2 linked regions of the Xenopus tropicalis genome follow. The protein of the gene in region 2 binds, or shares a complex with, the protein of the main gene of each other region. Links are inferred from orthologs where the notes say so. Each region holds a gene or a part of one and is shown on either strand. Other genes may lie near its edges. The genes, in order: wtap and rbm15b.

Region 1 (16,584 bases), on a different chromosome or scaffold from region 2:
AATATGAATTCAGTGTATCCCTAAACAAAACCTACTTTTCAAACAAGGCTCCACAACTGTAATCAGTCTATGTATTTCTCTGCATGAAACATACATGGCACAAAAGCAGCATAAGTATTACTTCACGTAGCTACATCTGCAAATGTGAACCTTCATTTTTTTTTAATGCATAAGAAGTATGATTTCCCACTTACAGTTAAGATCTGTGTATTTATTTTCCAGAGCTTGCACATATGCTTCAAACTGCTTCCACCTAGTTGTGGGAAAAAAACAAAATCTAATTAAAATACTGAATAAATTATCTGGGAAGTTAAAGTGGCAAGGTTTAACAACTAACTACACATTCAAAAGTGCATGAACTACTCTCTGCACCAACCTTTGTGAATTAGCAAAGATATTTAGGACAAGATCTCTAACCATATTTATGAATAAAATGATTAAAGGTGGTGACAGACGGGGAGATTAATAGCCCGCAACAAATCTCCCTTGTCGCGGGCAACTAATCTCCCTGAAACGTCATCCCACTGGCGATTTACATTCTAGCCGGTGGGATGGCATTTCGGGGAGATTTGTCGCACGGCGACTAATCTCCCCGTCCACCATGGCCCTAAGCCATAACCCCATTTCACTTTGGCACTGCTGAGTCACAGTTTGCAGGGGAGAAACTAGTAAAACAAATAACTACTTCACAGATAAGCCCCCTGTATAGTTAGCTGCTTGTTATCGCAAAGCCTAACAAAGGCTAAGGGTTTGTTTATACATACCTTATATTTGTTTAAACCAATGGCCTAACTCAGTGCTGTCCAACTTATGTGGTGCAGAGGGCCGGAATTTCTCTAGCATACATAGTGGAGGGCCGCTAATGGAAGCCAGTTCTGACCACTCCTATTTTTAAACCTCACCCACTTCAAACCACACCCATGTTATCACAAGACCATGCCCACATTAATGGTGGTAGTGCAGCAAAAACCCAAATGCTTGGTGCTCACTGCAGGGATATCAACCATCATTCATACGTGAAAGAAGTAAATTATGTCATGTTAAGACACACCCTTAAATCTATATGCCTCCTTCTCCCCTGTGGATAGCGCAGCAACACCCAGCACATTATTACACACCTTAGGGACCATTTATTGGCTATTTCCAACTGCTAACAGACTCCCAGAACAAACCTCTGCTAGGTTCAACTCCCACAGGCAGCATAGGGCAGGCAGAGTATGGCACACACTGCCCATGAGTGCCATACTCTGCCTGCCCTATGCTGCCCCTGTGTTCCATAATCTACATGCCCTACCCTGCCTGCCCTATGCTGCCTGTGTGTGACATACTCTGCCTGCCCTACCCCACCTGTGTGTGCGCCAAGAAATCACATTTCCAATGGCAAAAAAAGGAAAATATAAATTTATACAATTTGTAACTATTGGCATTATTTTAGCAAAGGTGTACATAGGAGTTTACTGCACCTCTAATGTCAAGACTTCATAATAGCAAAACATTTGTACAGAATATTGGAAGCTACAGTGGACATCTTTGGGGGAACAAATCATCACTACTAAAGGGCTGTGGTGAGTTGGACTGGTACCTTTTCTAAAAACGAGCACAATAAACAGAATCAGTGTTGAAATGCATTCTGCCCAGTCTTTTAATTTACCTTTGCAATAGCTCTTCTCTGGGTAAGACCTTAAAGTCTGACTCGTTGAGACGAACCTAAAAAAATTATATAAATTTATTTTAGTTTAAGGTTTTAAGCAATATCGGTGGAATTAAAAGACATGGGAAAAAAAAAAAAAAAAAAAAGCAAAAAAAAAAATATTACCTTTTTTGGGAGAGGTTCTTCGTTGGTCATGGTGACCTGAATAACAAAAATATATATATAGATATTCAATGATCAGATATTTGTTTGAAAACACCAAGCTTTTTTCATCTCAAGTGAGGGGACAAAATGAATGGTAGAATAATGAATTTAGGACACTTCCTGCTGTTCAGATCTGCACAAACAATATTAACACCGTATATGGTCATGTATGGCCACATCACATACATCTAAATATTTTACCGATAATAAAATATCAGCTGGTGTTTGCAAAAATGTTATTATAGTACTGGGAAATTAACAATGAATTCAGTATTACCCAAACATTTTATATTAATTGGTTTATGCACACTATCTTACTTGCACATAAGTATCACATTTTTTGTTTTTTTGTAATTTTAATTTTATTGATTTTTCAGAAAGAAAAGAGACAAAAGATATTCAACATATCAACTGTATGCAGAATGACAAATTTTACATCTTAAGTGTAGTATGGGCTTGGTACAGATTGCTTTTATAGCTGTGTGCTTGTTCACTAATGCTCTTATTATTGTTGCTCGCTTCAGCAGGGACATCTTAGGGTGAAAGTATAAGAGAGAGAAAGGACAGATTAGGGTGAAGGCATTATACTTTTTTATCAGTAGAGAACCTTGTTTTTCTCAATGGATTGGTCCTTGGAGTTGCACTATTTTGTCCACCAGCTGCACCATCAATTAAAAAAAAACCCAGCTCTACAACAGTAAAACAAATACTATGCATGCATAAACCTGTACCTCAATATAAACCTCTGATTGTATAATTATAAAGGCAAATCACCAGAAAAACAGGCAACACAATTAAAAAAAGTTTGTTTTATAAATTCAGTTGAAAATTTGTTTGACAGATTAGAATGAAATGAATGAAATCTTCAGAAGGGCATTGGGCAGAGGTGGTCTGCAAAAACTGACAAGAGATACTCCTGCGTATACTGGTGGGAGAGGGTTTACATTACATGCCCAGATTCTGTCAGGCAGTTTAGCTGATCAACCATACTGCCAGATATCATGCTAGATTATGCCTGCATGCCAGGTCAGGGACTGGTTTTAAAACTTTACCTAAAGTACCATGTCAGTAGGTGTACTTGGCAGACGAGCAAATGAAGTGGCGCTACAACTCATCTTCATTTGCTGTAGTTTTGATAGTTCTGGCAGTCATCCCAAATAAATAATAATAAATACAGATAGTGAGATAATGGCTAAAAACTTCCATTAATCTTTTGTATTCCCTGTTATAGCCCCTATCTAGTTAACTGATTGGATTCTATGGAGGCCTAGCCAACAAATGGCCTCCTTAACACCATGATCTACTTTAGGACAATAGTCATAAACAACAAAGCAATAAATATCAGTCAACAGAACGGTTTGGCACATGGTGCCTCTGTAACAAATGAGTATTACAAGTCACATGATTTCAAATACCAAGATAATAGTACCAATTTTTTGTTCCTCTATTCCAGTGGTTATAGGTCTGTGTGGCTTAGGTTAGGCAATAATAGGATTCTGAAACCATAATGAAAAATTTCACTCGTCTGATACAATAAGTTTTACTGTGAATATCCACATGGGCTTGTACTTAGCTGAATATCACTGATCTCTATTAGAAGTTTCAAAGCATTTTTTTACACAAGAACTGTACTCTGGCAACTTGCTAAACTTTCTGGCATAATGCGAATGTGTCTTCGTAAAAAGAAGGTTACGCTAAATTTATGAGGTGGCTTACTAAGGATGTCTGTTGTTTCAAGGGTAGAGAAGGACCTTGAAGCTAGCATGTTTTAACTTTGCTTACTTCCTTAATGTACAGACGGCAAAGGTACAGGATCCATTATATGGAATGCTTGTGACCTGTGTTTTTCCAGATAAGGGATCTTTCTGTAATTTGGAACACCATACCTTAAAAGAGAAGGAAAGGCCAATATATTAGGCACCCCCAAGTGACTTTAATCGCTTACCTTTTACCCCATGCTGGTGCCCCTGTTAGGAGAAAACTGCACCAGCCCGGTGTACCTGTAGCGTTGTTAAAGTTCGGCTTTTCACTATACTCGCAGCAACCCCAGGCTGGTGAGGTTTTCTCCTAACAGGGGCACCAGTCCGGGGTAAAAGGTAAGCGGTTAAAGTCACTTGGGGGTGCCTAACATGTTGGCACCCCCAAGTGAATTAGCCTTTCCTTCTACTTTAAGTTTGCTAAAAAAATGAAACATTACATAAACCCAACAGGATTGTTTTGCCACCAATATGGATTCATGAAGTTAAGTTGCGATTGAGTACACTGGACTATTTGATTAGAGAGAAAAGTAAAATCATTCTAATCAATTAGAATTACTTGATTGGTATGGCTGTCAGTTCATGAGAAAACACCTGGATCTGCCAATGGTTTCAGGAGCCTGTATCTCTTGAACTACTGACTGAAAGAAGTGTGGCTTAAGATGATAACTGAGTGTACACTGTATCCGGTTACATATTTATTTACCAAGTAGCTAACTGATGCATAAAATGCACAAACTGTGCATTTTCAAGTAGACTACAGTGAAAAACCATAAACTATGGGAGGACCTGGCCACTAAGAATTTAACCATTTTTTGAGGCAGCCAGTGTGCGAATGTGATGCACAATGATTTCATATTAAACTGCATTCTAGCTTGATTCCCTGCATGCCAAAATAAGCCTTTAAGTGTATGTACTCTGTATCCCTTTCCCTACAGAACTATATTGATATTTACAATGTTTTCATGAGCAGTTTTTGTTGCTTGCCAGCATCAGGAAATATCATCAAAGATATAACATGCCCTTTCTGTATAAAAAGAGCACTAAGAAAGAGGCAATTGTGGCACTTTCCACATAAAAGGCAGGAGAGGGCTAACCTAATTTGCTTTGCAGGACTGCATGACAGCTTTCTCAAAACTTTTACTCACTCCTCTATAACTAAAAAAACAATGTCACCAACAAGATCATGTTAAACATTTTGCTTTTAACTCTACTTTCGCAGAATAAAAATGAAATCTAATATGGCAACATAGATCTGAGAATGACTAATAATGCACCAGGAGGGTTAACAAGATTGCAGGGCAATAACTAGGAATTAACAAGAAACACACTCAGGTTTATTATATTCCAAAATGAAAGTGTCAAAACCTAAAAAAAAAAAACCAAAAAACTGGTGGGCTGATAGTGTCCGATACCTTGTCTACCTCCAAAACATGCATTATGAATCAGCTAAGAGAACTGTACAAAGTATGTTTCCCTTAGTCAAACCACAGCAACAATAACACCAGATGGATTCAAACTGCTTCCAATTTATATTGACAAAATGTGTGGGCTTACTATAAGCATCTATACACCAAAAAATGTTGTGTTACACATGCAACATTAACATAAAATACCTGTAATATGCAATGCATTTCAGAGCTTTATTGGACACTTGGACTTCTCACGTTGATACCCCAGGGCTTTCCTGGTTCTCCAGTGAGTATAACTACGTTCCACAATTACAATGTTTGTCAAAAAACAATTCTCTAAGGGACATGGCATCAGCTGGTTGACAGCATATAACAAACTACCAGCAACAGAAAGGTATTTTGGTACTACTACCCTTTATCTTCCATAAAGATTAACCATCTCATCTTTGAATCTAATGAAGATGCCATGTATGATGCTCCATGTGAATCATATGCTAACTGCATGAAGATTTGATTTATTGTAGTATCACTGCAATTCTATTGTTTAATGGCATTGACATTTCTTTTTTAATCTTCTTGTTTTAATTCTTTATTTGAAAATAATTTAAATATTTAGATCATCTTAGAATCAAGATTACCTAGAAGTGAAGTCTATGTGGCAAGTGAAAACCTCAGAAGTACTGGATAAAGATTCCAGCCAATAAACACAAACAGTGCTAGCAAGGCTACATTTTACTGTACTCTCTTGGAAACAATCACTAAACTTACAATGGGACACAGGTAAAAATGCTTATATGTGCAACATATTTTCACATATTGCTGCATATACCTGCAAGTCACCTCCATAGGGGCAGCATCTGCTCTCAGGGTAGTTAGTACTCCATGCAATCACAGCATGGAATAAAGCACAAACAGGCAAAACAAACTCCCATGTGAACTAGGATTTTTAAGTCACCTTGCTTCACTTACTTTAGTAACCAAATCTTTAAAATGTTGTATTTACATGAACAAAGGTTATTCTGCTTGTAAAGCAGAGTATTTATAAACAAAATGGTGGGAAAATTGGGGGGGGGGGGTCTCAAAATGTCTAACAAACATGGCTTCTGCAAATATGTGCACTTTTAAATAAGCTGAGGTCTCTCATTTATTTTCCCCAATTATATTCCTTCCAAAAAAGCAGCATGTGAAACTGTAAGCATTGCCACATCCAGTAGTTTCACTTCCATGTAACTGTACAGCGCTTTCCTGCTCACTGGCAGACAAGTGACTGCTCATATACTTTGCATATAACTGGAAACACGGTAATTGGGTGAATTTCACTGCCCCTCTCCACTATCAGAGCCTTTGGAAAAGCATAGTGACAAAGGTTAACGTGTTATTTTCAATTTACATCAGGGAAGTCCTTCAGCTTATGTTCGTTTGCGACAGCAGCTCCCACCACTCCGACTAATCCCAGCGGGGACTGCAGTTGGACATCCCTAAGTCACGTACATCCCTCCTCGGATGGGAGCTGCAGATTTCCTGCAATGCCCTCTCCTTTAACTACAGCCCCGATTCTAAGGTCAGTCACGAGAAGGCCGCAGCCTTCCGAGTTCCGCCATTTTTTTTTTTTTTTTTGGAAGGAACAGATACAGACAATCCTGGTGCCCACCACACACACACACATACACAGAAGAGATTGAGTCACCAATAGTCCCAAAACGTACAAACTAGCACATGGTTTCTGCTTAATACCTCACAACTCAAACCCACCGTGTCCTCTCCGCTTCTGCCTCCCACCTTATGCGGTGAGTGAGCTGCGCAGCCCGGGCGGCTCCTGTCCTGGTACTCGCAATTCCGCGGTGCTCAGAGAAAGAGTTCCTATTGACACCGGCAACAATTAATATGGCTTGTGCGACTTTAAATCGCTACAGGCAAATTCGTAGTTTCGGTCAGTCTTATCAGGTCTCCGAATGTTGCTTTTCTCTCGTCTCTTCCTCCTCTAGATGTCTCCGACACAAAATGGCGGCAGCGGAGGAAATGAGGCGGGAGTCATTTCTCAGTCACACCCCCTGCCATGAGAGAGATACGCATTCTCTTGACTGAACTGGAGCACGAAATTTTATTAGGAAAACGTGCTTTATGTGTAATATATATTTGTGAGTGTGTATATAGTATATCAACACACACACATATATATTTTAAAGTGCCTTATGTATACAAAATTGTTTATTCAAAACTCTATAATTGTAAAAACATTGCCAATTTTCACTTCATATATTTGGCATGATTTCATGTTTTAGGGACAAGGGACAGTTTGTAGACAAGTTGGCTGCCCCATGCCATGCAATAGCAGTTGCACACACAAACTTAAAGGCAAGTTGCATTTAGAACTTTTACTGATATTTAGTATAGGACCCATTATCCAGAACGCTCGGGTCCTGGGGCTTTCCAGATAAGGGGTCTTTCTGTAATTTGGATCTCCTACCTTAGGATGGTTTTGTTCCAATAAGGATTAATTATATCTTAGTTAGGATCAAGTACAAGGAGATGGCCTCTCCGTAATTCGGGTTTCCGGATAAGGGGTCCGATACCTGTATGTATGTAACCTTGAAAAAAACACTATTTTTGTAAACACTGGAGCATTTTGCAGTAGTTATGATGTAAAGCTTTAAAGGACCAGTAACACCAAAAATGAAGTGCTTTAAAGGAGCAGTTCAGTGTAAAAACAAAACTAGGCAAAATACATAGACTGAGCAAAATAAAATTGTGTTGCAGCGCGACTAATCTCCCTGTGTGTCACTGCCCTAAATGGCACAGGTAACATAGGCGATACGCTCTGTAGAATACAGGGCCGGCCCTAGGCCGATTGGACCTATTGCTGCAATCGGGCCCGCGCCAATGGGGGCCCCGCCGTGATACACCTCTTTTTTTTTTTAGCCCGGGTTCCCTTTAAAAATGACGAGCCTTTTCATTGGTGGTCAGCGGGTAATTTGATTGGTCGCGCCCTGTGCGTATATGTGACATCAGTATGCACAGGGCGCAACCTTTAAAAGTGAGGACACAGTGAGCCAGAGGATGCAAGCAGCGGCCAGCTGGAGGAGGAGCAGGGGGACGCTGAGAAAGAGCATGACAAGGGGACTCCTCAATTGACCCTTTGCCTTGAGGCACCCTACTGAACCCCCTTGTTACATACCTTAATGAAACAACAGGAGACAGAGGTGGAGAAAATGGCCACAGCATTTATTCACATTTTATCAAATAAATAGGACCTTGCAAGCCTAACCCAAGGCAATATTCTTAAGCCATAATTTCATAAGAGGTCGATACTATGCTCTGCCGTTCCTCGCTGAAGACTTGAATGAGTATTAGACTGCCTCTACCTACAGAGAGGAAACTCTGATACCAGCAGGAGCTGCATTACCAACCATGAGTGAAGTTCAGCAGCCCTGCTGCTGGTCCTGGATCTGCAGTGTCTTGATGATAGGATATCCTATATCCTTATACCGTATAAAGATAGAGAAAGCACAATATAACAATGCATTCAGGAAAACATCCAGATTCAGTTATTAATAGATATTATGAAATCAAAAAGAAGAGAAATTCCTGACATTTTGCAAAATATGCAAAAAGAGGGAGGGTGGGTGGGATGTTTCTTCCTCCTCAGAAGATACGGACGTGAGTGCCCTCTTTTTCTGACATCACATCCCTCTCATTTTCTCCGCCCCCCAGGCCGGCTTTCTCCTGCCTTAATTCTTTCCTTCTCACCTAATCACAGTTGAACCTAGTTCTCCAATCTCTAAACATAAACCAGTGTAATCTGGCTGCTGGTTATTTGGATCCCTTGTCATGCAGCCCCTGCGCTTATAGCTCCAGGGCTTTCCTGGATGAAGCAGGTGGGCGCTGGGGGTAGAGTTGGGGGAGCTGGGGGAGGCCTGGGGGAAAGTTGACAGAGCTGGAGGATGCTGGGGGGGGGGAGAGTTGGGGGAGCTGGAGGATGCTTGGGGAAGAGTTGAGGGAGCTGTTGGATTCTGGGGGGAGAGTTGGGGCATGCTGGGGGGAGAGTTGAGGGATGCTGGGGGGAGAGTTGAGAGATGCTGGGGGGAGAGTTGGGGGAGCTGGAGGACACTTGGGAAAGAGTTGAGGGAGCTGTTGGATGCTGGGGGGGAGAGTTGGGGGAGCTGGAGGACGCTTGGGGAAGAGTTGGGGGATGCTGGTGGGAGAGTTAGGGAATGCTGGGGGGGAGAGTTGGGGGAGCTGGAGGACGCTTGGGGAAGACGCTTACTAGATACTGTATATCATGACCTGGATGAATGAGAATCTTCATAGACAAACAGACAAATAGATACTGCTTTGAATAGCAATTACAAATAACTTTAATATCAATAAATGCATCTGATTAAAGTTTATTCAAAAGTTATCTTTTTCTTTTCCTCTTAATACACCAAAACAATGCTTTCTGTCACTATGTATTTTAAGAAAACTAAAGTGTTCAGATCCCCTCTGAACACGTGATTTACACAGAGATGTCAGCTTCCCCACATTTTCCTGTAGTCTCCCAAATGTATACATGGAGTTTCGAACACATCCTAATTGGACAGATTGGGGATTTAACTGGGTATAACAGGGCATGGTCAAAGCACCCCCCAGTGAAATAGATCACTAAGTTTTTTTCCCAGGCTGGTGGTCCTGTTAGGAGAGAACTAAACTAGCCTTTGGGGAAAAAAAACGAGCGCAGCTCCTGTATCTCATTACCTTACTATCTTTTTGCTAGGTGCTTGCATTCTGCCCATGTACAGTAGAGTAAATCTTAACAGGTATATTCTACTGCTCATGGAGGAAAGGAATTTGCACAGGGAATGTCTGGGACACCAGTAGAAAGGTAAAAAAAAAAAAAAACTGCATGGCACTCAGTTTTTTACACCAGCAGGTGTGCTTCTGTCCTAACAGCACCAGCCTGGTAAAAAAAAAGTTAGCGATCTATTTCGTTGGGGGGGGGGGGGGTGCTTAATATTTTTGCACTCCCCAGTTGAAAAGTATTACAATGGGGAAAGTACAACAGTCTGAGAGGTTTGTGTCCATTTTAAAATGAAACTTTCAGAAGAGGCTCAGGGCTGCATGTGGAGCAATGAGGAACACACAACCTTCGAACAACCTTACTTACAACATAATTTACATGGTGAATCTGTTTATTTCTAAATATTGTTGTGCACAGTTATTCATCTTTATCAATTAAAGTATATGAAGCACAACTAAACCCGGCAGACACTTTCTCATGGGGTAATCATATATCAGGGGCTTACCTACAACAGTAGCCATTCCATCTCACATTAAAGGAAAACTATACCCCAAAACAATGTAGGTCTCTTAAAAATATATTGCATAAACAAGCTCATATGCAAAACCCCTGCTTCACTAAAATTAAAAAATATATACTTTTTAGTAGTATTCTCCTTATTACTCTCGTCCCTGTTTAGTCCTCCCTGTGCCAGTCATATCGACTAGCGCTATTCTCCTCTGCTTACTATAGCCTCATTCCAACAAAAAGAACAGCCAAGTGTTACACAATACAGCTCGCCACCTGCCTTGCCCCGAAACGAGCGGAGAGTGACAGCAGCAGGGGTGGGAGGGGAATAATATAGCCCGGAAGTAGATCGGCGGCAGGGGGCGGGGCAGAAGGTACAAGGGCAGAGAGTTATACTGACGGAGCTGACAGGGGGCAACCAGCAGACTCCTTTTCGTTGTCGAACTTGCACTTGACCGCAGACATGCTGTGCAGGCTCAGTGTTTGTGGCAGGTGAGCGAACGGTTCCCATAAAGGAGCAGCAGCCTAAGGACTTTGTGGGACAGGGAGAGGAGCTGCACACCGTGTGGTATTCACAGCATGGGCTGTGCTGTTTGCTCACATGATGCAGCATCTTATTTGTAGCAGGCAGGTTCTATAGAACAGCAAGTTGAGTGTGGTTTATGCAGTAGCTAATATATGTACCGTATGATATTTGGGTAACTTCTATCAAATAAGGAGCCAACACCAACAAAGTTACTGCAATTGCAGAAACATAGCATTTTATTGGAGCGCTGGGCTATTTTGTTTTTGTACCTGTGGTGAAGTGTTGGACTGTTTTACCCTGCAGATAACTTATCAGTCTGTCCCAGTGTTGGATTCTAACAAACTAGCAGCTAATAATTAGTCATAATTCATTTAACAGTATGATGCTAAGTGGGTAATGATTAATATAGTTTTTTGATGATTCATATGTATTCATTTCTTTTTACTACAAATATCCTAGCAGTAACTGGAGTTTACCTAAATTTCTGGCTGTGTTACTTTGGCCGCAAAAATATTTTTGCTCATTTGGCAATGAATTCAATTTACCAAACTTTAGTAAATGGACTCCATTGTGTTCAAATGGTCGTACTATGCTTAATTCAGTAGTTCTTGAATTTGCAGACCATTGCCCTGATCCATTGTGATCCATTGGGTTTCAGTTGCAGTACTTACAAAGGTATTGCTGACTGGTCATCTTTGTGTCATAAAAACACTTGGCGATATTTATTTCAGTAAAATAATGTGCTTTTCTAAGCAGTTTTGCTCTTCACATTCACTTTCTATCTTTAATGGTTTCTGGATTTTCAGAGTTTTAGGCTGCCAAAGAAAAGTATTATAATACATACACTAAGGGGCACATTTACTAACCCACGAACGGGCCGAATGCGTCCGATTGCGTTTTTTTCGTAATGATCGGTAATTTTGCGATTTTTTTCGGCGTCTTTACGATTTTTGCGTAAAAACGCGAGTTTTTCGTAGCCATTACAAAAGTTGTGCAAAGTCGCGATCTTTTCGTAGCGTTAAAACTTGCGTGAAACGTCGCGCCTTTTAAGTTTTAACGCTACAAAAAAGGCACGACTTTGCGCGCAAGTGTTAACGCTACGAAAAAATCGCGACTTTGCGCAACTTTCGTAATGGCTACGAAAAACTCGCGTTTTTACGCAAAAATCGTAAAGACGCCGAAAAAATACGAAAAAGTCGCAAAATGTTCGTTTCCAATCGGAATTTTTCCAATTCGGATTCGAAATCGTGTCTTAGTAAATCAGCCCCTAAGGTTTCCTGAGAAAGGTTCATTTTTTTTTTAATGTTTTTTGGCAGTATATGATTGTTTTGTTTTTCTTTTCTCTAAAAATTCAAGATAATTCTTAATATTTTAATAAAAACCACAAACAGATTTATAAAACTGTACGTGATTTTTTTGACTAACAAAAAGGTTTAAGCTTGTGAGAACCATTGAGTCCTATGGAGGCTCAGAATAGTAGAGAAATAATAATCAGCCTCTCCTTGACGCATTTTAAAGGGGAAGTTAAAAACATTGTTTTTAATTTCACGCATTTTAAAGGGGAAGTTAAAAACATTGTTTTTAATTTCACACATTTTTTAAGGGGAAGTTAATTCCATCATTGTTTACTATTTCACCCAGTTTCAAGGGAAAGTTATTCCATCATTTACTATTTCACCCAGTTTCAAGGGGAACTTAATCCCACCATTGTTTTCTCTTGCACACAGTGGACCTAAACACATTGTTTTCCAAGAATTGAGCACCAGTGCTCCTAAAATGGCAGCTGGAGCAATTCCTGTTTGGGAAAAATAAAGAGGATTCATGGAAATGAACAGCCATTTGAATTTCACAAATTTTTTGAGTTTTTCTGCTTGAAAAAATTGTGCTTTTCGGACAATAAACTCAATATTTGTGTTTGACCCTACCCTACAGTATTGTGGCATTTAATAAATGCAAGAATGATTGTGTTTTATTAAAAAAAATACCAAGTCCAGTTTTTACGAGTTTCAAGGCCAGGAAATTCCAGTTTTAGTAAATCTGCCCCTTAAAGTGCCAAGTAAGCAGATCTTTTTCAGATCTGGCCAGCCAAACCAATGTTTGAACCACAGTGTTGCCAGAGTAGACCTACCAGGAGAGGACTTAACAAAACAAACTATTCTCATGTGATCAGATTTTCATACCTGCCTGGTTGATATATGGCTGATCTCTGGCCAGGGTTAGACTGGGCCGGCAGGACACCTGGAAAAAACCCGGTGGGCCCCGCTGACCCAGGTCCGCTCCCTTCCTGGAACTTGTGCGTACCACTCAGCCACAAATAAAAGTAACGTGGCACAACGTGCATGCATAGGGGGGGCTTTCTGCAAGTGTATGGAAGGCAACGTGATGCCCCAGTGGGCCCTGGACCCAAGGTTGATCAAAGTTGCTGCCCTTCAACTTACAAAATATGCATTTAGGGTTACTATTCATCTGTTTAGAAAGCTGCACACCACAAATCTTTTTTAGTTTTACTGAGATATTTTTTTCAACATTGCCCTTTTAACTTGATAGAAATCTAGTGTTCTTGTTTCTTGTGCAGGGGAAGGCTTAGATGTGCTCCAGCCTTGACATACTTTACGTCCAGGGAAAAGCATACTCTGCCTGACTTACCATATGATTATGGTGCTCTGCAGCCCCACATCAGTGCTGAAATCATGCAACTACACCACAGTAAACACCATGCTACTTATGTGAACAACCTTAATATTACAGAAGAAAAATATGCAGAGGCCCTGGCTAAAGGTGAGTGTTCCAGTTGGTTTATATTTCATCTTTTCCCCTTGCAGCTGAAAGGTTTCTTTACACATTTGCATTAGGTGCATGTGGCCAGCGCTGTCCATGTAGAGGCAGGAACCTTTCAATCATGAGGCAAGGTTAGAACCTCACTTCAGGCTGTACTCCTGAGGAAGCTGCCCATAAAGTGTATATAAAACTCCTGTTTTAAAAAGGAAATTTAGCTTTTACTGGGCCAGTAATGTGTACTCTGTCCCTAGACATGGAAATAGAAAGATAGGGCTTGCAGTTCACACCAGTGGTATTATCACAAAAAAAATACACTTTATAAAGATATTTTTAAAGGATCATAATACAGCACAATATTGCTCTTATGTTGAAGTACAATTAATCACATATAATACATACCACCAGATAAGCAAACATGAAACACAGTAAGAGAGCGCATACCCTTGCAAAAAAATGAGAAAACCCCCAACGTTTTGTCAAAAAAGCCTATGTCAAGGGGAATTTCTAGACCATGACACGGCCAGGACTTGGGTAATCTGGGCTAGGTTGCATAGTCCAGCAAAAATCCATATCCAATTCTTTTCTTTTAAAGTTGCCATATTTTGTTGCTCAACTCCTTGATCATACTTGGATGATAAAAAGTTAAATTTAGACGAGATAAAGGATCCAACAAATTCACTGTTCGGAAGCTCTCAAAGTCAACACAATGCATCTCACCATGAATACATGGTTCTGCTTCTGTTTGCTGTATATTAGCTTGTGTTTCTTTTTGAGGAGACATATTTTCTTTTTCATTTAAGAGCAAAGATATCTGAGGCAGAGAAATTTTGAAGACCCCTAGTAGAGTTTGTAATCTCTTGAAAAGCAAAGCAGCATTTTTAATTATTTTTTTTTGTTTATTTAGCTTTAAAGAGGACCTGCCTCCCGATATAAAAAGCTGTATAATCAAAGCCATTTTCCAATTAAACATTAACAAAAGGTTCTTTTTTAAATTAAAATACATATGCTTGTTATAAATGTATTTTAAAAGTTTCCGCTGTCAATCATATATTGCCTGCCTCACCTCTATGTCAGGCAATTACTTTCACTTTTTATTCTGCACTTGCTAGATGTTATTGCACTCATCTCATTACCGTTCCCTTCTCACTGTCTATAATCCTGTAGCCTGTGTATAGGCATGGTCCTTAGGTCCCTCATTCTGACGCATAAACAAGATTTTGAGTTAATGGAAAGCTTGCCTCAGTAACCGTGTTCTATATAGTTTTTTAATTATTTTAATTTTGGTTCAGCAGCTCTTCAGCTATCTGGTCCTAGGGGCCATATTACCTTAGCAACCAGTAAGTGGTTTGAATTAAAGACTGCTATACGAATAGGGGAGAACCTAAATAGAAAAATAATTTCTAAAAAGCATCAATAAAACTGTAGCCTCGCAAAGCAATAGTTTTTGTCCTGGTGCAGTCAGCGGCCCCTATTTAAAAAGTTGCAAAGTGTTAGAAGAAGACAAATATTTCAAAAGCTATAAACTATAAATATTGAAGACCAATTAAAAAGTTGCTTAGAATTGGCCATTCTTTAGCATACTAATAGTTAATGTAAAGTTAAAACCACCCCTTTAAAATACCATTTTATTTAGCACACAACTGCTGATTTAGCTTGATTTGCTCACAGGCCAAAGGCCAATCCATTCAAGTAATGTTTAACAGAACCAGTACTTGTTTCCCAAAACCTTATTTAGTTGGTGGGGTTGGAGTGAAATATGTTGGTTGCTTAGGGTAAAGTATATATTTCATGTGCCCAGTTACTTAAAAATTGTATCATGTTATTTTATTTTTATTGTTCTTTGTGTAGCCATCATATCCGACCCAGTGGAGATTACAGTCTGAGTTCACATTCACACATTTTGTGATAGATGTTTTTAAGAACACAACCTGCCTGTATGTCCTACTCATAGGACACCCCCACACACAAAACATACAAACCCCTTCCAGAGCAGAAGTAAACTCAGAACCAGTAACAATGGAAACATTGCACAATTTGTTAATATAATTTAATAACATTGTAAACTGCATTTTAAAAAGGGCATATTCTATAGCCAGTGCAATAACTAGAAGCCCAACCTCTGGTATAACTAGAGGTTAAACTCAACATATTATAATACTATATGGTATGATAACTGGACTTATATAAGGGATTTAGACCACCAATTAAAGATAAAATGTATATTATATTTTTAAGGGGATGTTACAACTCAAGTCTCTCTTCAAGCTGCACTTAAATTTAATGGTGGTGGCCATATCAATCACACAATCTTCTGGACAAACCTTTCCCCTAATGGTGGAGGGGAACCACAAGGTAAGTGCATGTCAATGTGTGTTTTTCAGTGTTGCTGTAATCCTGGGAGGTAAGGATCTGAAGATCTTATGTGAGTGAATGTAATGGTCTAGCTTGTATGGGACAATACCCTAAAGTCTTTTCTGTTAAATGTATCTAAAAAGAGTTTTTGTAAAAAGCCTCCGCAGAGAAGGCCCAGGTAGGCCAGACTGTTAAATTGGAATAAGGGTCTGAGACCTATAAATGAATGTGGAATTAACATTTTGATAGCTACCAGTAGCAATGCTGTATGTAAAATTTGTAGTTTATTCTGTACCAACAAAGTGTGTAAATATTTGAGGAAAATTGCTCCTGTGAAATAGGGGATCCATATGAAACATGGAGTTGCCCTGTTATGATTCGGCAGTAAAACTGTGCTGACCTGCCCCACTAGTGGTGACATCTGCAATAGGAACCAAATGCACAGATGTGTTTTCAGTACTGCAGCAGAGGGGGAGATGGAGATGAAAAATCTGGAGGTTCAACATATCATACTACAGGTATGAGAACTTTGATCCAGAATGCTCAGGATCTGGCGTTTTCTAGATAAAGGATCTTTTTGTAATTTGGGTCTCCGTACCTAAGTCTTCTAAAAAATAATT
Region 2 (16,773 bases):
TGGCACAGTGCCTACAGTCTAGGTTAAACCTTCACTAAGTGGCACAGTGACTACAGTGTAGGTTGGACCTGGGGTACCTGGCACAGTGACTACAGTGCAGGTTAAACCTTGGGTGCCTGACAGAGTGCCTACAGTGTAGGTTGGACGTGGGGTACCTGGCACAGTGCCTACAGTCTAGCATAATCCTTGAATAAGTGGCACAGTGCCTGTAGTGTAGGTTGGACCTGGCTTACCTGGCACAGTGCCTACAGTCTAGGTTATACCTTGCGAAGAATGGCACAGGTTGGACCTTGGGTACCATATGTGGTTCAAAAAAGTGACAAATGACAGTTACGCTCATTTGGACCTTGGGTGCCTGGCACAGTGTAGGTTGAACATGGGGAACCTGGCACAGTGCCTACAGTCTAGGTTAAACCTGGGGTACCTGGCACAGTGCCTACAGTCTAGGTTAAACCTGGGGTACCTGGCACAGTGCCTACAGTCAAAGTTAAACCTGGGGTACCTGGCACAGTGCCTACAGTGCAGGTTAAACCTTGGGTGCCTGGCACAGTGCCTACAGTGTAGGTTGGACCTGGGGTGCCTGGCACAGTGCCTACAGTTTAGGTTAAACCTTGGGTACCTGGCACAGTGCCTACAGTCTAGGATAAACCTTCACTAAGTGGCACAGTGCATACAGTCTAGGTTAAACCTTGGGTACCTGGCACAGTGCCTACAGTCTAGGTTAAACCTTGGGTACCGGGGTACAGTGCCTACGGTTTAGGTTAAACCTTGGGTACCTGGCACAGTGCCTACAGTCTAAATTAAACCTTTGGTACCTGGTACAGTGCCTACAGTCTAGGTTAAATCTTCACTAAGTGGCACAGTGCCTACAGTCTAGGTTAAACCTGGGGAACCTGGCACAGTGCCTACAGTCTAGGTTAAACCTGGGGAACCTGGCACAGTGCCTACAGTCTAGGTTAAACCTGGGGAACCTGGCACAGTGCCTACAGTCTAGGTTAAACCTGGGGAACCTGGCACAGTGCCTACAGTCTAGGTTAAACCTGGGGAACCTGGCACAGTGCCTACAGTCTAGGTTAAACCTGGGGAACCTGGTACTGGGTACCTGGTTCAGTGCCTACAGTCTAGGATAAACCTTCAATAAGTGGCACAGTGCCTACAGTCTAGGATAAACCTTCACTAAGTGGCACAGTGCCTACAGTCTAGGCTATACCGCAGAAAAAGAAGAGAGCACCTTCACGCAGGTTAACTGCTTCAGCCTTTATTCAATAAAGGCTGAAGCAGTTAACCTGCATGAAGGTGCTCTCCTCTTTTTCTGCGATATTCCAAAAGGCCAGGCGGTGAGCCATTGGGGATTGATGCATCGTGCCATGTGAGCAGTAAGGCTGTGCGTTTATATATTTATTTTTTTTAGTCTTGGTTATAATCTTGGGTACTTGGCACAGTGCCTACAGTCTAGGATAAACCTTGGGTACCTGGCACAGTGCCTACAGTCTAGGATAAACCTTGGGTACCATATGTGGTTAAAAAAAGTGACAAATGACAGTTACCCTTTAAAGCTCACTTTACAGCCATAACAATGTACAGAACATGTTACCTTCCCTTACGGCTGTCTGCAAACCCGCATCAAATACACACCACATAGATTTGCCTCAAACCCAGGAACCCAAAAGGCTGACATTTTAGTTTAAAGCCTGGAGCTGTGCAGCCATTTCGGTGGTGCAATTCTTTTTATACATAAACGATGTAAAAGAAATGTGTTTTATTTTCTCTGTACTGATGCACTGCACTTGGCAAAATAATGGATGTGAGAGTAAGGTGTGCAGCAACAGCACTGCACTAGGAGGCCAGCAACAGCCTCTTTTTCTGCTGTACAAGAACAGACAGAATAGGTGCCCCTTGAGGATATTCTCTCCTCAGACACCAGAAATGCAGTTTGTGACACATTATGTAACAGAGTAATACCCTATTTTTTACCATTACCTTAAAACATGAGGCCAGGACCAGCAACCTGGTCTACTGAATGAAAAAGTGTTTTTTGTGTCTGTGTATTTTAGCCACATGCTGGCCATATAAAGAAACCCTGGAGAGTTACTGACACTGACGCACCTAAAACTCCCCCTTCCTTGCGCATCTGATGCCCCGCTGATGATTGGCACAGTTGGCACATAAGGCTGGCACCATAGGTGCTTGATGCTTAAGAGCCAAATGGGCAAAAAGGGGAGTTGGTTAGAGGTCAGCGGCAATAACTGAATGCGCAGAATGGCCAGCAGGCTGGTGTGGGTGTGAGTAATTATATATAAAGTACTGGGGCTTGTGCTGAGCTTTTTGTTGCATCTGAAACACTTTCAGCCTTTTACACGTGGTCTTGAAAATTCAGTGTTATTTATTAAATTTCTCTCTCTACATTCGGAACATATTGGCCTCTGGACACTCTGGCTCCCTAGAAACATAAAAAGCCACTAAAAGCAAATGCATATTTTTTCTGTTGGTTGAAGGGGGGAGAATAAAGGCCAAAGCCTCTAACTGGAGAGAAGGGGTTGGAAATTCACCAAAACATACATGTTAAAGATTTAAACAAATGTAATTACATACTAGGAGCTTGGGTTCTGGGTACAAAGGCATCTTCAGGACCTTATCAGCTACCCATCCAGCAGCACAGAACCTTTCGGGATAAAACAAGGACAAGCCAAGAAAGACTTGGCTCCCAACCAAAAAACCAGCTTGAGTTAAACAGGGAACAAATAAAATGAGTCTGGTGTAAATGTAGGGGGGTAAGGGAGCTATGGACTGACTGCCCGATAGATCTCTGCCTGAAACTCAGCCACATATCTACTGGGCAGATTTCAAAATAGTCGTGCTAGGCCTGAGAAGTGTGCATAAGCCGTTATTAGGATTCTACTGTTGGCCAAGTGATCCGATCAGCCCAGTTTGGCCCAGAAGATAGGTGAACAAACTGGGCAAAGATCCACTAGTTTGGCTAGGGTACCAAACAAGTGGAGCTATTAGTGTAAGGCCAGCTTAAGGATAGCTGTTATGAGTATCTTAGCAACACAATGTTGGGGGGGGATGGGGGGAACACTCAAATTAAATATCAAAACATAACGTATAAAGCAATGCTCCTCTTGTAATGTACAAACCATAGAAACTGTATTGTGCCATCAGCTTTGCCAACAATGTACACAAAGCAAAAAAAATATATTAAAGGCAACATTTTAGAGAGATAATAATTTAGAATACATGCATCAAAAAGCCCCAAACTGCAGCTGGTAAAACCCCCACATGGCACGGGCTGGATATAAGAACATGGATGGAAGATTAGTGTTTCCTCCCTCTACTGTTTATTTTATCTTTGCATAGTACGGCTCCTATATCCCCAAGCTACACCCCAAACATGTGGTAATGTCTATGGCAAAACCCTTGGGCGCCCACGGTTATATCTCCAAGCTGCGCTTAGTTCATCCTGCCTGTTGATGCATGTATTTCTAGAACAGAAATTTGAATGTATAGATATATATATATATATATATATATATATATATATATATCGCCTTTCTGGATTTTTAAAAAATGGTTCTACATACATTGGTATTTATAACCCCATAGATAGCAGAATATGCTTTGATTTTTAACTTGAGTGCTGTCATTCCACACCTATAAGAGGGTGAGAGAAGTCTTGTTTGGTCACATGTATATGGTTCAGCAATATATACATACCTACGGAGTATGTGCGTGCAAGATACATACACAGAACCGCCAGATGTGCTATTACATACAGATTGTGATATTGGAGAATGGGTACACCTTTACGTGTTCATTAAATATATGTAAAATGCACACACATACGCTTGCACACATGTAAACAAACATAAGAACAGTGTTGTGTTGGCTCCGGGCAGTGATAAAGTTAACCCCTGCTAAGTTCCTGGACTAATAATGAAGATGCAGTGCACACAGATACTCAGCCTTAACACAAACTGCCAGCTACTAGTCAGTCAGGTAGTGGTAATAACCTAAGTCCCCCTTCGGCGCGCACACACACACATAACGAGCTTCATTAAGCAGAAATAATGAGCAGGGTTTGATCCTAGGAGGCTGCTTCTGATTATAAACAGGTAGTTTTATCCCACTAATCAGGCTCATGGGTTCTGCTAACAGCCCTGCAACCCCCACATCTCTCACTCACACATACACAGCCACCAGAGGGACGCTCAGTGACAGAACACGCTGCACTAGTGTCACATGTACATAAGGCACTCTTGGGATCCTCTGACTACTGAGGTCTCCAGGACACAGGCACACAAACCCTAAAAACAGAACTAGTATCCCCAATGTGACAAACTCTATGAACTAGCCAAAAACACAAAGCTTTTCTAAGGTGCTCGATTACGGAGCTAGGGAGCAGAATACACTAAGGGGCAGGATGTAAAAATAACACACACGCGCACACAAAAGGAAAATGGATCTGTCCAGCAGCAAGTTTACTGTTGGAATTTGACTAGAAAAGGGGGCCCTAAGTGGAGGAGAGACTACAGTGAGCGGGGTGGTGGTACCTTCCCATGATTCCTCACTTCTGACTGCCTTATATACCTGTGACAATAGCCATTGCCGTGCATTGGAACACCGACAGCTAACAGGGTTAGAAAACACTTTGTAAATTAGGTTGCAGAACCTTTTACACAACTAAAGTGATACATGATTTATTCCACTCAGTTCAGTCCTAACTTGAACTCCCCCATATTTTTGGTTGCCCGCCCCCATCAATTCAGAAATCCATAACAGAGAGAGGACAGTGTAGGCACAGGACAGTCTAACAGGGCACCATTGGGCACAGTGACTTCTGGATTAGGCGCTGTCTTTCACCAACACAATAATCATGTTCTCTTCTAGCTTGCCCACAAGGCGCTGAGCACTTTGCTGGTACAGCTGGTGGAAGTCACATGGAGGGAATGCATACAACATGCCGCTGGGGTCCCTGCCCTTGTTGCTCCCTCCCACTGGTAGGCTGATAACTCCAGCCGCCTGTTTCTGTTTTAGGTAGGAGACCAGGTTCCTGAGAAGGCGGCGCTGTAAGCCAGGTTCCCCAGGTATTGCCCCCTCATTTTGTGGGGCTTGTGTGGCAAGAAGTACAGCATAGCCTCCGGCAGTGCCCTGTCTCACTTTACGGGTGACCTCCTCAAGCTTAGGCTGGTCAAGCCGGAGTCGCTGGGCAATCTTAAGTTGTGCCAGGCTGCCTCCACTTGTAGAAGAACGGTCCTTGAGTAGGGCACCTGGCACATCACGGTCACCCTCTAAGAAATGAAGGTAGGTTGGAAAACAGCTGTTTTTAAGTACCAAATGCCCACACCACACAGGTGGCAGCGTCCGTCCCTTCTCCACTCCAGGGGATTGCCGCTCAGCAGGTGGCTCAGGAGGCCTAGGATGGTGATTCCTGCGGGGCTGGGGCGGGTCAGGGGTTGGGGGCCGGGGCTTGTCCTGGGATGAAGGTCTGTGATTGTGTTGCGGGGATGGAGGAGTACTAGGGTCTCTTTCCGGAGGCTCCCTCCTTTGACGATCTGGGCTCCTCTCGGCTCTACTCCGAACTCTGTCGCTAGACAAGCTGCGTCGTCGCCTTCTTTCCTCCCGTGTTTTTGAACTGCTGCCCCCACCACCTCCACCCCCACGGTCCCCACTTCTGCTCCGTGCACCTTGGCCTGAGCTGCGCCGCTCAGAATTTACCCAGCCGGCTTCCACAAACGGTCTCTCGCGATCGGAGTATAGAAGATGCGGAGGGGTCCTATCTCTCACTCTGAGATCTGGGTCCAGAGCAGTACGATGCCTGCTATAAGCTTCAGGTTGCAACAACTCATAGGGCAGAGGCAGAGGGTATGGAGTTGTCTGAAGAGGAGCATAGCGAGATGCAGCTGCAGCAGCCTCGTCCGGCGACACAGTGGCAAAGTCTACCCGAAGCCTACGGTCTCCCAGTGCAAAGCCCCTCATCTGCGTACAAGCCGCCTGGGCGGCATCTAAGCTTTCATACTGGATGTATGCAAAACTGTCTCCTTTGACATAATCCACTGTACGGATACTCCCAAAGCGGTCAAACTCCCGAGCTAGCGCTGCGAGAGAGGTGTTGGGGCCCAGCCCCCCCACCCATAGTCGTGTGCTCGGGTTGGGTTTCCCATAGCCAATTTTCATTGCATTGCGCCCCAACAAGCGCCCGCTCATTGCAAGCTTTGCCCGATGGGCCATGTCCAGGTTTTGGAACCTGAGGAAGGCGTACGCCGCTCCTTGGCCCCTCCCCGGGCGCTTGATCACCACTTCCTCTATGGGGCCGTATTTATCGAATGCCCTCCGTAAATCCACCTCCGACACCATGTGGTCTAAGTTGCCAATGAAGAGATTGCGGGTGGCTCGGTGGTCATCCTCTGGGGCCAGCTGCTCATCGTCGGCCGTACTGGTGCTGCTCATACCGTAGGTGGCCCCCCGGACTCTCTCCTCATAGAGTGGGTAGTAGCCATCCCCAGAGGCCGCTGTAGAGGTGAGAGAGGAGGGCAGGAGCAGGTGCCTGGGGGAAGTGGATCGGGGGTAGCTGGGCAGAGAGGTGAGGGAGAGGGGGGAAGGCTCAGGCCGGCGGGTCGGTTGCTGAGTGAATACCGGCTCCACACGCAGCTGCCGATCGTACAGCACCGGCCGTACCTTGGCGTGTCGGGCCTGGCGAGCCTCTGCCGGCCTGCGGAAGTTGATGTAGGCGACCCGGCCGAGCTCCGGGGTGTGTGACAGCTTCACACTGATGTCTCCGAAGCGCTGGAAGTGCCGGAAGAGCCAATCCTCCAGCAGCGGGTCGGGCAGCGCCGAGCCCAGGTTACTGATCAGCAGCGTCTTGTACTCCAGGCCCGGGGCCTCGGCCGGAGCGGTCAGTAGAAGGGGCCGGGGCGGCGGATCTCTGGGCCGGCGGGAGGAGGAAGAAGACGAAGAGGAGGAGGCCCCGGCCTGGTTAGGCCTCTCCCGCCTTCCCGAACTTTTATGGTGAGCCCCTCCGGCCTCCTCCCGCCTCTCTCTGGCTCTCTTGGCGCGGCCGGGGCTCTGCTCCCCGCGTTCGCTCTGTCGCTTCATGCTCACGTCCCGCTGCTGGCTGCTCGCCGCTCCGTCACCACACGCGGGGGAGGCGCGCTTACTGTGCAGCCGCCATCTTCCACAATGAGTGGGGAGGGAGAGTGATGTCATCAGGGGGCGCCGGGAGCGGTGACGCAAGCAAGGGTGTGGCGCGGAGGGTCACATGGGCCGCCGGCGGGCCCCCAAAGCGCCTGTCACTTCTGACTAACAGAGACTGTCACTTCTAAATGCATCACAAAGGTTCCCTGCAGCAAGGGCAAGTGGGGGGCAAGTGGGGGCAGAAAGGCCATGGCCGCCGTCAGAAGAGTCTCTCCAACGTCTTGACTGGGATAGTCAGGGGTAAATAGGGTGATACTATAATGTGTAATAATGGCTCTGTAACCTGCTAGCTGAGTAAACGGTGAGGAAACTTAAAATTAAGAATTATTACGTTGTTGACAGGAAGTGCTAAGACAATCTGGTTGCTATGGGTTACTTGGCCTTGCAACCAGGGGCGTTTGGAAGTCAAAATGAAAGAAGAATATTGAAAGGTATAAACAAATACATAAACAATAAAACTTTATCCAATAAGAAACACCCTGCTGTGTGATCATTCCCCATCATGCTGGGGCTGTAGGTGTAACATGGGAGGTTGGGTGCTGGGCAGGTACAACATGGCTTTGTGTAGGCAGGAGGGGTACATACCTGCTTGTAGTGGGAGCATGAAGAGATAATAACCAATAAGGAATGGTAGGGTAGTTGTGCATCTTTTCACTTTGAAGTTTTGTCTCTGGGCTGCAGGGATTCTTCCTAAAAGCCCTTGTTATAATTCATCACACGTTAAGGCTGATGCCACACGTGGCGTAGGGCTGATTTTTTCCGCTTGCCGAAAATTCAGCCCTACGCCTGCTACTTGTGCCTGCACCCGAATGAATGGAATACGCTCGGGGGCAGGCACATGTAGCCAATGAAAACGTGAGACTTTGCATTCTCTCGCGTTTTCATGCGTATATCGGCTACATGTGCCTGCACCCGAGCGTATTCCATTCATTCGGGTGCAGGCACAAGTAGCAGGTGTAGGGCTGAATTTTCGGCAAGCGTTTTTCCTCTTGCCAAAAAAGTCAGCCCTACGCCACGTGTGGCATCAGCCTAAAGGGATAGTTTACTTTGAAATAACTTTTAGTATGGTGTAGAGAGTGATATTCTGAGACAATTTGCAATTGGCCTTCATTTTTTATTATTTGTGGTTTTTAAATCATTTAGCTTCTCATTTAGCAGCTTTCCAGTTTGCAATTTGAGCAATCTGGTTGCCAGGGCCCAAATTTCCCTAGCAACCATGCATTGATTTGAATGAGAGACGAAAACAAATAGGCAAAGGGCCTGAATAGAAAGATTGATAATAAAAAGTAGCAATAATAATACATTTGTGGATTTACGGAGCATTTGTTTTATAGATGGGGCCAGTGACCTCCATTTGAAAGCTGTAAATATTCAGAAGAAGAAGGCAATTCAAAAACTATAAAAAAGTAAAAATGAAGGCTTATTGAAAGGGGAGCCTCCCAAAAGTGGCTGGATTGCATAGAAGACCAACAGAGCAGGTTCTGAGCAGTGAACTGGATTGTGTAGGCGAGGGATAGGTCAGCAGGCGGATAATGGTTGTAGAACAAGGCAGATTTTACAGTAGCAGTGGATAGACAGAACTGTCAACTGCCAATTGTTTGGCCAAACCAAATCTGAACCCTCTGAACAAGTCATGTGGCTGCCCTAGATATTTTGATGAGGACCTTAGCCAGTTTGGAGAAGAAGAAGAGTTTCTTCAAGGGAAAAACTGTCTACTACAAACAGAAGAGTTATTTTACCTTTACATAGAGGCAACATTGGTCTATAAGCCCATATTGTTCCAAATTAGCACAAACCTGCTGCAGACCATACAGTAAAGTTCTGGATTACTGGGCAGAGTCTGGCTTTAAAGACAGTAATAAAAAGGGAAATGTCCATTTATGGTAGGTCACCAAACAAGGAGGACGAATCAGAAATTAAAGAGTCTTGTGATCAGAAGAAACTAGAGTGGAACAACCCCAAATGACAATGAGCTCTCGAGGAAAAGCTTAAGCACAAAACTATTCTCATGAAGGCTTATGGGAGACCATCAAAGACCCTCCTAAAAGCATGAGCAAAGTGCACAGTTTCTCTTTCTACCAGTGAGGTAAATCCCAAGTCAACCTTGCCAGGAAGTAAAACTATAATATATGGCACTTTGGAAAATTAAACTATAATAACAAAGATTAGAAAACAGGTCTGAGAATGACCATCATAGCACTGGGGCACTGGTATATAAGGTTGGGCAGATGCTGTCACCGCAACAACAGGGGCTTTGCAGCACAGGTGCCAATGGAGGAGTAGGTATGAATAGCATCATAGTGGCTGCATGCATGCATCTAAATGGTGACTAGGAACTGGAACTAGTATGATTTTATCTTGCTTTGAATGCTGGCCAGAGTCAAACCAAAGAAAGGGGGCACCAAGGGCCTCCCACTGCTCCTCATGTTCTCTTCCAACCTTCTCTCCTCCCAAAATTTGCATCACCTCCTGCACAATAAATGCCACCACTCATTCAGCCACTGCCGAATTATAGAAGGGAGGCACGTGCCTCCTCTGGCCTTAATTTCTTCTCCTGACTCTCAAGATGCCTTACCTATGTTTTAGAACATCTGGAGTTAAAGCAGAAGTACCCCCAGTGAACCCCATTTTATTCCCAAGAGTGCTGTAACATCACTGAGGTTCCATAGAGAAAGTGGGAATAACTAAACAGGGTCTTTGATGGTCTAGGCATAGGGCATCTAAACAACAGGGCATATTATATAATGGTGGTTTAATATGTAATAATAGGATAATAACAGGAAAGGGTAGACTGCAAGAAAAATGATCCAAGGGAAGGATTACAGAAAACAGGTTAATGATTAAACAGGCCAAGGTCATACACAGAATAAGTGAACACTGTAGGTGGAACTGTATCAGACACCACATTTGGTTGCTGAACATTAAATAGAACCTGCCATATATACCCTGAAGTACCCATTTTCCTCAATAAGGGGGAGAAGGGTGGAATTTTTGTTTGAGGAGCATACCAACAGAAGACTTTGCACTGAAATACTTGTATTATATATCAATATACTGGGGAGATTAAAAAAGGGCCAACTGATATATATTCATATATAATACACAAGAGCCATGAATATCCTGTAAATGATATCCTTATAAATGGAGCTTAGTGATGGCATCAGTTATAATCAATGCTTAGTTATGTAATTTCTGTCACATAGCTTAATGAAACGTGTATTATAATAAATAAGGTACCCCCTGTTGAAAAATACAAGGATGTTAGAAGTCAACGTGGAGTTCCATGACCTGTATAAAAGTAGGCAGCTCTCAGCCCTGTGCTTTTATATGGTCATGGAACTCCATGAGGTGACGTATGCATTCACTATATACAGCTTTATATTCTCCCCCGTACGTCCTCAGTTTACATGCACATTAGTGATGCAAGCCTGTGCTTCTCAGGGGGGTCAGGGAATGGAACATTCGGAGAAATGAAAGGTTCGCACAGGGCCAGTACAACCCAGACTGTTTACCACTTTCAGTTACTGCTTGGTGTTCAAGAAGGCAGAGTCTCAAGAGTTTTCATAATTTGCCTATAATTAATCTGCTGTGTTTATTGCTGTTTGTGCAGGTTATCAGGCCTTGCAAGGCTTTACTGTGGCCCAGATCACGCTCCCTCAAATGACTCCATGGGCCAGTTTAGTAGTTGTAGCGAGTTGGTGGCCATCAGGATAGGTTTGGTAAGAACGTAGCAGGTACAGAGGAACAGAAAGAACATGCAGAACTGTTACTCTGTACAAGCAAGAGTGGATTTGCTCTATTATGGCCCAAATATATATATAAACATTTGATATAAGCCAACACAGGCCGGGGCAGGATACAGGATCAGTCTAACAACATAGCAAATAATTGATTCTACCTTTAATGTATTTTTTAGCTGTAATATTGGTGTGTAGGCGCCATCTCAGTGCATTGTGCCTGAGTCAGAGCTTTCAGAAGCGCTACACATTAGAACTGCTTTCAGGTAACCTATTGTTTCTGTTTCTCCTACTCCCATGTAACTGGAGGAGTCCCAAGCCGGACTTGGATTTCTTACTATTGAGTGCTATTCTGATACCTACTGGGAGCTGCTATCTTGCTCCCTTCCCATTTTTCTGCTGATCGGCTGCTGGGGAAGGGGGGGGGTGTTTGTCACTGCAACTTGCAGCGCAGCAGTAAAGTGTGACTGAAGTTTATCAAAGCACAGGTCACATGGCTGAGTGCACCTGAGAAATGAAGAATGAGGTTCCAAAATTATATATAAAAATTTTTTTTTTTTTTAAATCTGCTCTTTTGAAAAACGGATTTCAATGCAGGATTCTGCTGGAGATGCTCTAATAACTCATGCGTTTTTTAAAAAAAATATTTTCCCACGACAGTATTTATTTAAATGGAATGGTGCTAAATGAACTAATTTCTAATTATAAGCAAGGATTAGAAGTGTAGGACGCAGAGTTTAAAGATGGCTAACTGGATGGCACAATGCGCAGAGCCTAAGTACTGTGAATAAAAATACTTAGCTTTATTTGCAAAAATGCCATGATATTTCTGGCGGACATTTTAACCACAAAGTTCTATACACTGAGTCACCATCGCAAAGTTAGTGCGGTCTACTGGAGTGGGCTTCCAGACGTTCCAACCTGAGGCAGGGACTGAGCCGATGGCCTATACAGCTTGTATCACCTGTAGTGGCCTCAAAAGTGTCATGGATGCAGAGTACCACTCTCTTATAAGTGTAGGAGGCAAAGAGCGGAGTATTCTAATAGACCTCCACACTTGTCCCTATTGATTTTGCTTGCCAGAACAGCAGAGCTTTAGCTTGATATAATCATTTTATATAATTGTACATATGCAGGTCAAGACATACATAAACTTAACCCATGCTTTGTGAATCCACACAAACCTGCTCCCCCCATTTATGTACCTGTGTCCTACTCACTCTGTTGACATCATCGGCAGGTCAAGGTGATATAAACAAACACCACCCTATCAGCAGTGTGGCTTGAAATTGTGCAGAGAAGGGTAGGGAAGCGGTCAGGTGGTGGCATATTTAGCCTGCCCACAACCCACTTCTAGGGACAAATGGTTCCCTAATCCTGCCCAATTCACACAATAATGAAAGTAAGACCATGGTGCTCATTTATTAACCCAGAGAATAGTGAAGGAAAACAATTCTTTCCCTTTATAAAGCCATACTGGCACATACAACTGGTTGTTTCCCGAAAGAGTGGGAAGCCTGTTTAGCTAATAACTATTGTTCAATATTGGACAGGATTTTTTCCTTGTACTGTAATTTATCGGTCTGCAGGTTGGCCATATCTGCAGTAGGCACAGAGGTCTCCTGTGATCTTGATTATCTGTAATAGACTAAACAGGGGCAGAAGATGCTTATTGAAGGGCAATTAGGATGCATTTTCCTAATGGAAATTGTAAATTGTGAATTTTTGGCAATCTATGTCTGAAATTTGTGTAATGCCAATGTTTCTCCAATATAGGCGCTAGACCAAAATTCTATAAAGGATGTGATATATGGTGCCACCTGCTGGACACAATGGAGCAGACTTCTTATCCCAGTCAACTAGTAAGAACTGTCCCCAAATTTACCTTTGAGCACCAGTTTATTAGAAAAGAATAAGCATTTATTTTACATATTTTAAAAAAAAAAAAAAAGCCCAAGTCCCGATATTGATTCTATGTGGATACAGGAAAAAGACTGAGACATGCAATTATATTCTTGATATTCATTGTCAAAAAGCTGCAAACGCAGAGAACTGGAAAGCATGCAGATACTATTAGTAGCACTATAGCATACCAGTTACTTGCACTGAATAAATGGCATCAGTGCCACTGGCAGCTGTAGAGTGGTTTCCCAGGACTTACCAGCAGAATAAGCAGTCTCAATCTGGCCATACACATGAAGATCTGCTCATTTGGTGAGATCTTGTGCTAAGCGATATCGGGGTGATCTGATTGTTTAGCCCTAGGACCATCCCAATATCACCAAGCACAAGGTGGGCATATTGAGCAAAGATCCAGTCCTTGTTCCAATGGAATTTGTAACCTGTCCAATAGCTATCTGCCTGATTTTGGATATTAGGCAATGGGAGAGGGCCCATATAGAAAAGCTGCCAACTGTTCTGTATCAACTTTTCAGTGTAAGGGACCGAATCGTCAGCTTAAATCTACCTGTGTATGGGCAGCAAATACTTAGGTGGGCACACCATTTGCTAATGATTCCAAGTTAGGTTTGTATGCCACTAGCACTGCTCAATTTCTCACACCTGCTTTATAAAGTGCAAAGTTACTTTATTTATACAGCCTAAAAGCCAGATTGATACAGCCTAAAAGCCTATGCACCCCAACTAATTCAAACTGTAATAAACAGGGGCGGGCCAAGCCGACCGGGCGCCCTAGGCAACCCGGTCGGCCAACTCCGCCCACCTCCCCGCCCCCCAAATGGCGCATGCGCACCAAAGCACAGGAGAAGGTGCAGGGGGTGGGGGTGGGGCGATTACATCGGTCATTGCCTCCGCCACTAATGACAAGCGGCAGAGGCAATGACAAAGTAGCACTAGGGGTAGGCAGGAGAGGCTGCCTGGCACCCCTCAATCGTTGCGCCCTAGGCAGCTGCCTCTTCTGCCTACCCCTAGTTCTGGCCCTGGTAATAAAGGAAATACTGAGTGGCCTTTTCTTGCCTCTCCATGCCCTAGGGCTAGGTCAGTAATAAATGCTCACCTGGTGTCATGCAGGTTATACTAGAATAAAGATCTTAAATCTGCAGTCTATTAAAGCCAGCTTTATTGTTAGAACACCTGAAAGGCCTCGGGTTATTCTACATGTCTGTGCTGAACAGCCGATGCTAGCCATCTGCTTATAAAAGTATTGTGCAGTACAGCTATTCCCACCTCCATCTCCCTAATGGGAATCACTGGTATCTACATTCCACTATCGCACTGTGATATGAAAGCTGAACAGGTGTTTGCTAAATTGTCCAAACTTGTTTTTTACAATATGTTCCCATTAAGAATCCAACTAAGGCAAGGGTTTCCCAACCTGGCCCTTCAGATTGTACAGTTTAGGCAGGTCTCTTCCCGAGTTGGTTCATATGTATAGCATATTTTCAATAACCCTGTATTCCCTCACTTACGAAAAAGGAAACCAACCTCTTCTTGAAGCTATATAATGTATCAGCCAGCACGACTGATTCAGGGAGAGAATGCCACGACTACACAGCTCTCACAGTAAAAAAATCCTTTCTGAATATCTAGATGGAAGATTTTTTATTTTTTTTTTAAACTGGAATGGGTGCCCTCATGTCTGCTGAAAGGACCTACTGGTAAATAAAGCATTAGAGAGATTATTATATGGTCCCCTTATATATTCATACAAGCACCTTTTCTCTAGAGTAACCAACTTGGCCACCCTTTGGCTACAGGATTGGGCACAGTTTCCTGACCACGTACAAACATCTTTATTAAAAACCAACAGACCTTAGTTTAGAAAGCGGTCATTTGTGAGGCACTGTATCAAAATCCAAATAGATCAGAACTACTGCACCCCCTGTACAACTTCTTACTAATCTCATCATAACACACAATCAAATTTAAATCCTAACCCCTTTTTAAATGTAGGAATTGCATCAGCTTTCCTCCAGTCCATAGGTACCATACCAGAGGAAAGAGAGCTTGAGAAAATCAGAAAAAGAAACCTGGCTAAAACCAAACTAAGCTCTCTGTACCTGAGGGTGTATTGTATCTGGCACTGGTGCCCTGCAATTAAGTGCACAGGTGAACAGAGTGAAAGCAGCCATTGTACAGCACTGAGATACGGTCAGGGGCGCTGCTGCCATGAGTTCAGAAACTCACCTCTGCTGGCAGCTCCCTGCAGGTTGCCAGGGGCAGCAAAAAGCAACTCCTGGTAACTTTAGGCGTTGAGTTTTTAAACCGGAAATTTGGCTCTTGCACTGCTGGTAGCGCAATTGTGCTCTGGATGAATTTAGTTTCTGGTTACAAAATAAAAATAGCTATAATTGTACAGATGCGAGTTATCCATACACCATTATATCCTAACACCAGCTGAAATATTCTACCCAAATGCACACATTGATGTAACCATTTAATGCCCAAAACAAACAAAACGTTTGTAAACACTGTAATATCAGCATAACCTCCTAAAAAATAATCTGGTTTCAGACAGAGGTAGAAACAAAACTGTTTAATTTCAACAGCAAGACAGGTGCAAATGTGTTATCACTGTTTTTGAACATTCCAGTAGCTGGAGGGTGCCAGAGAGGTTCAGTGCTAATGTGTAAAGCAAAAGAACCCTGTGTGAGTTTTCCTCTTGGGGCAAAATACTGCTGATTACACTAGGTAACCTGCTCTATACCAGTGGAGCCTGCAGCTGTGTGCTTAGCACAATGGGACATCTGTACAAAAGCCCAGCCTTTCCCCCAGTCTGCCTTATTGCTCATCCAGCTGCGTGACACCTGATATGAAGCAGAGGGGGCAACTGTAACGCAGTTCTTGCCTTCATTCATTTTTTTTTCACCACAGCAAGAGGCAGAGTGGATCCTTTTATTTTCATAGAAAAAATGCCACTCAACAAGAACCCAAAGTAACATGGAGGTAATAAAAATTCCCCGTACTGCAAGACTGTCCGAGACAGCGCAGAGAAAACCAATAAGTTACAAGCAAATGTATCAAACAAAAGTGTCCCACCTGACTGCAGGGTTCATATTCCTGCAATCTGGGGGAGTCTTCAGACTTTTACAAAAAAAAAAGAAAAAAAAAAAAAAAAAGAAAACAGAACTAAAGTGAAAAAAAAATTCTGTTCCTTAAAAAGTAAAAATGATAACCATATTAGAGGAACGTCTGCTGGCTGGGTCTATAGTTTAGAGGATCAGTTCTTGCACTAGATCCACAGGATAGCGCTTTAAAGGTCAGTCCGTGCATTGGCTGCATTGGGAGCGTATTTAGGCATCAGTTCATTAATCTTGCGGATAAAGTCCGATTTCTCAGCACAGCCCTTGCAGGACTCGCCCCAGTCATCCAAAATCTTCTTCAGTTCCTTGACTTTGAGCTTCTTTAGATCCACTGTGCTCAGGTCAATCTGTTTATCTGTAGGAGTGAATAAAAAACCCAGTCAGAAACCAATAAAAGCTCACACAATGCAGCTGTGCCCCTAGCGCCCTGTCAGTATCAGCCCTATGCACTTACCATACTTCAGCTCACAGATCTGCCCATCTTTCTTCTTTAGCTTCTCGCAGATCTTCTCAGGAGGGATGTGGTTACTTAATGGTCTGGACACCTCGTTTGTGATTTTGGTGGCAGCGTCGCTGGTGGCTCCAATGTAGTAACACTGTAACAAAAAAAAGGAGTTTTTTGGAGCGTTAAAACAGGAAACTGACCAAATCAAAGGACTGTATTTGCTCTTTTTCTGTTTAAAAGGCACTACATGCTAGAAGGGCCGGTTCCTTTTTTGCACTAGAGCCCGTAGTCCAGTAGTTACACCACTGGTCTCTATGGTGGTCTGAAGCAGAAGAGGGAAGCCTACCTGGATAATGTT

The links.
Region 1: rbm15b (region 2) and wtap share a complex: the UniProt entries of both Homo sapiens proteins name them as parts of the WMM complex. The link is inferred for Xenopus tropicalis from reciprocal best matches to the Homo sapiens genes RBM15B and WTAP.

What each region holds. Positions count from the first base shown.
Region 1 is NC_030681.2:44,103,384-44,119,967, forward strand, and holds the start of wtap (pre-mRNA-splicing regulator WTAP), read right to left. Parts: upstream 7,084-16,584; 5' UTR 6,777-7,083; exon of another isoform or gene 6,759-6,776; intron 6,559-6,758; exon of another isoform or gene 6,415-6,558; intron 1,853-6,414; 5' UTR 1,847-1,852; coding exon 1,817-1,846; intron 1,708-1,816; coding exon 1,652-1,707; intron 254-1,651; coding exon 195-253; intron 1-194. Other genes in the region: sod2 (superoxide dismutase [Mn], mitochondrial), read left to right, coding at 10,772-10,800, 13,410-13,612, 15,848-15,964. UniProt on the Homo sapiens protein: Associated component of the WMM complex, a complex that mediates N6-methyladenosine (m6A) methylation of RNAs, a modification that plays a role in the efficiency of mRNA splicing and RNA processing.
Region 2 is NC_030680.2:127,339,946-127,356,718, forward strand, and holds rbm15b (putative RNA-binding protein 15B), read right to left. Parts: upstream 7,650-16,773; 5' UTR 7,204-7,649; coding exon 4,843-7,203; 3' UTR 1,747-4,842; downstream 1-1,746. Other genes in the region: manf (mesencephalic astrocyte-derived neurotrophic factor precursor), read right to left, coding at 16,141-16,325, 16,425-16,566. UniProt on the Homo sapiens protein: RNA-binding protein that acts as a key regulator of N6-methyladenosine (m6A) methylation of RNAs, thereby regulating different processes, such as alternative splicing of mRNAs and X chromosome inactivation mediated by Xist RNA.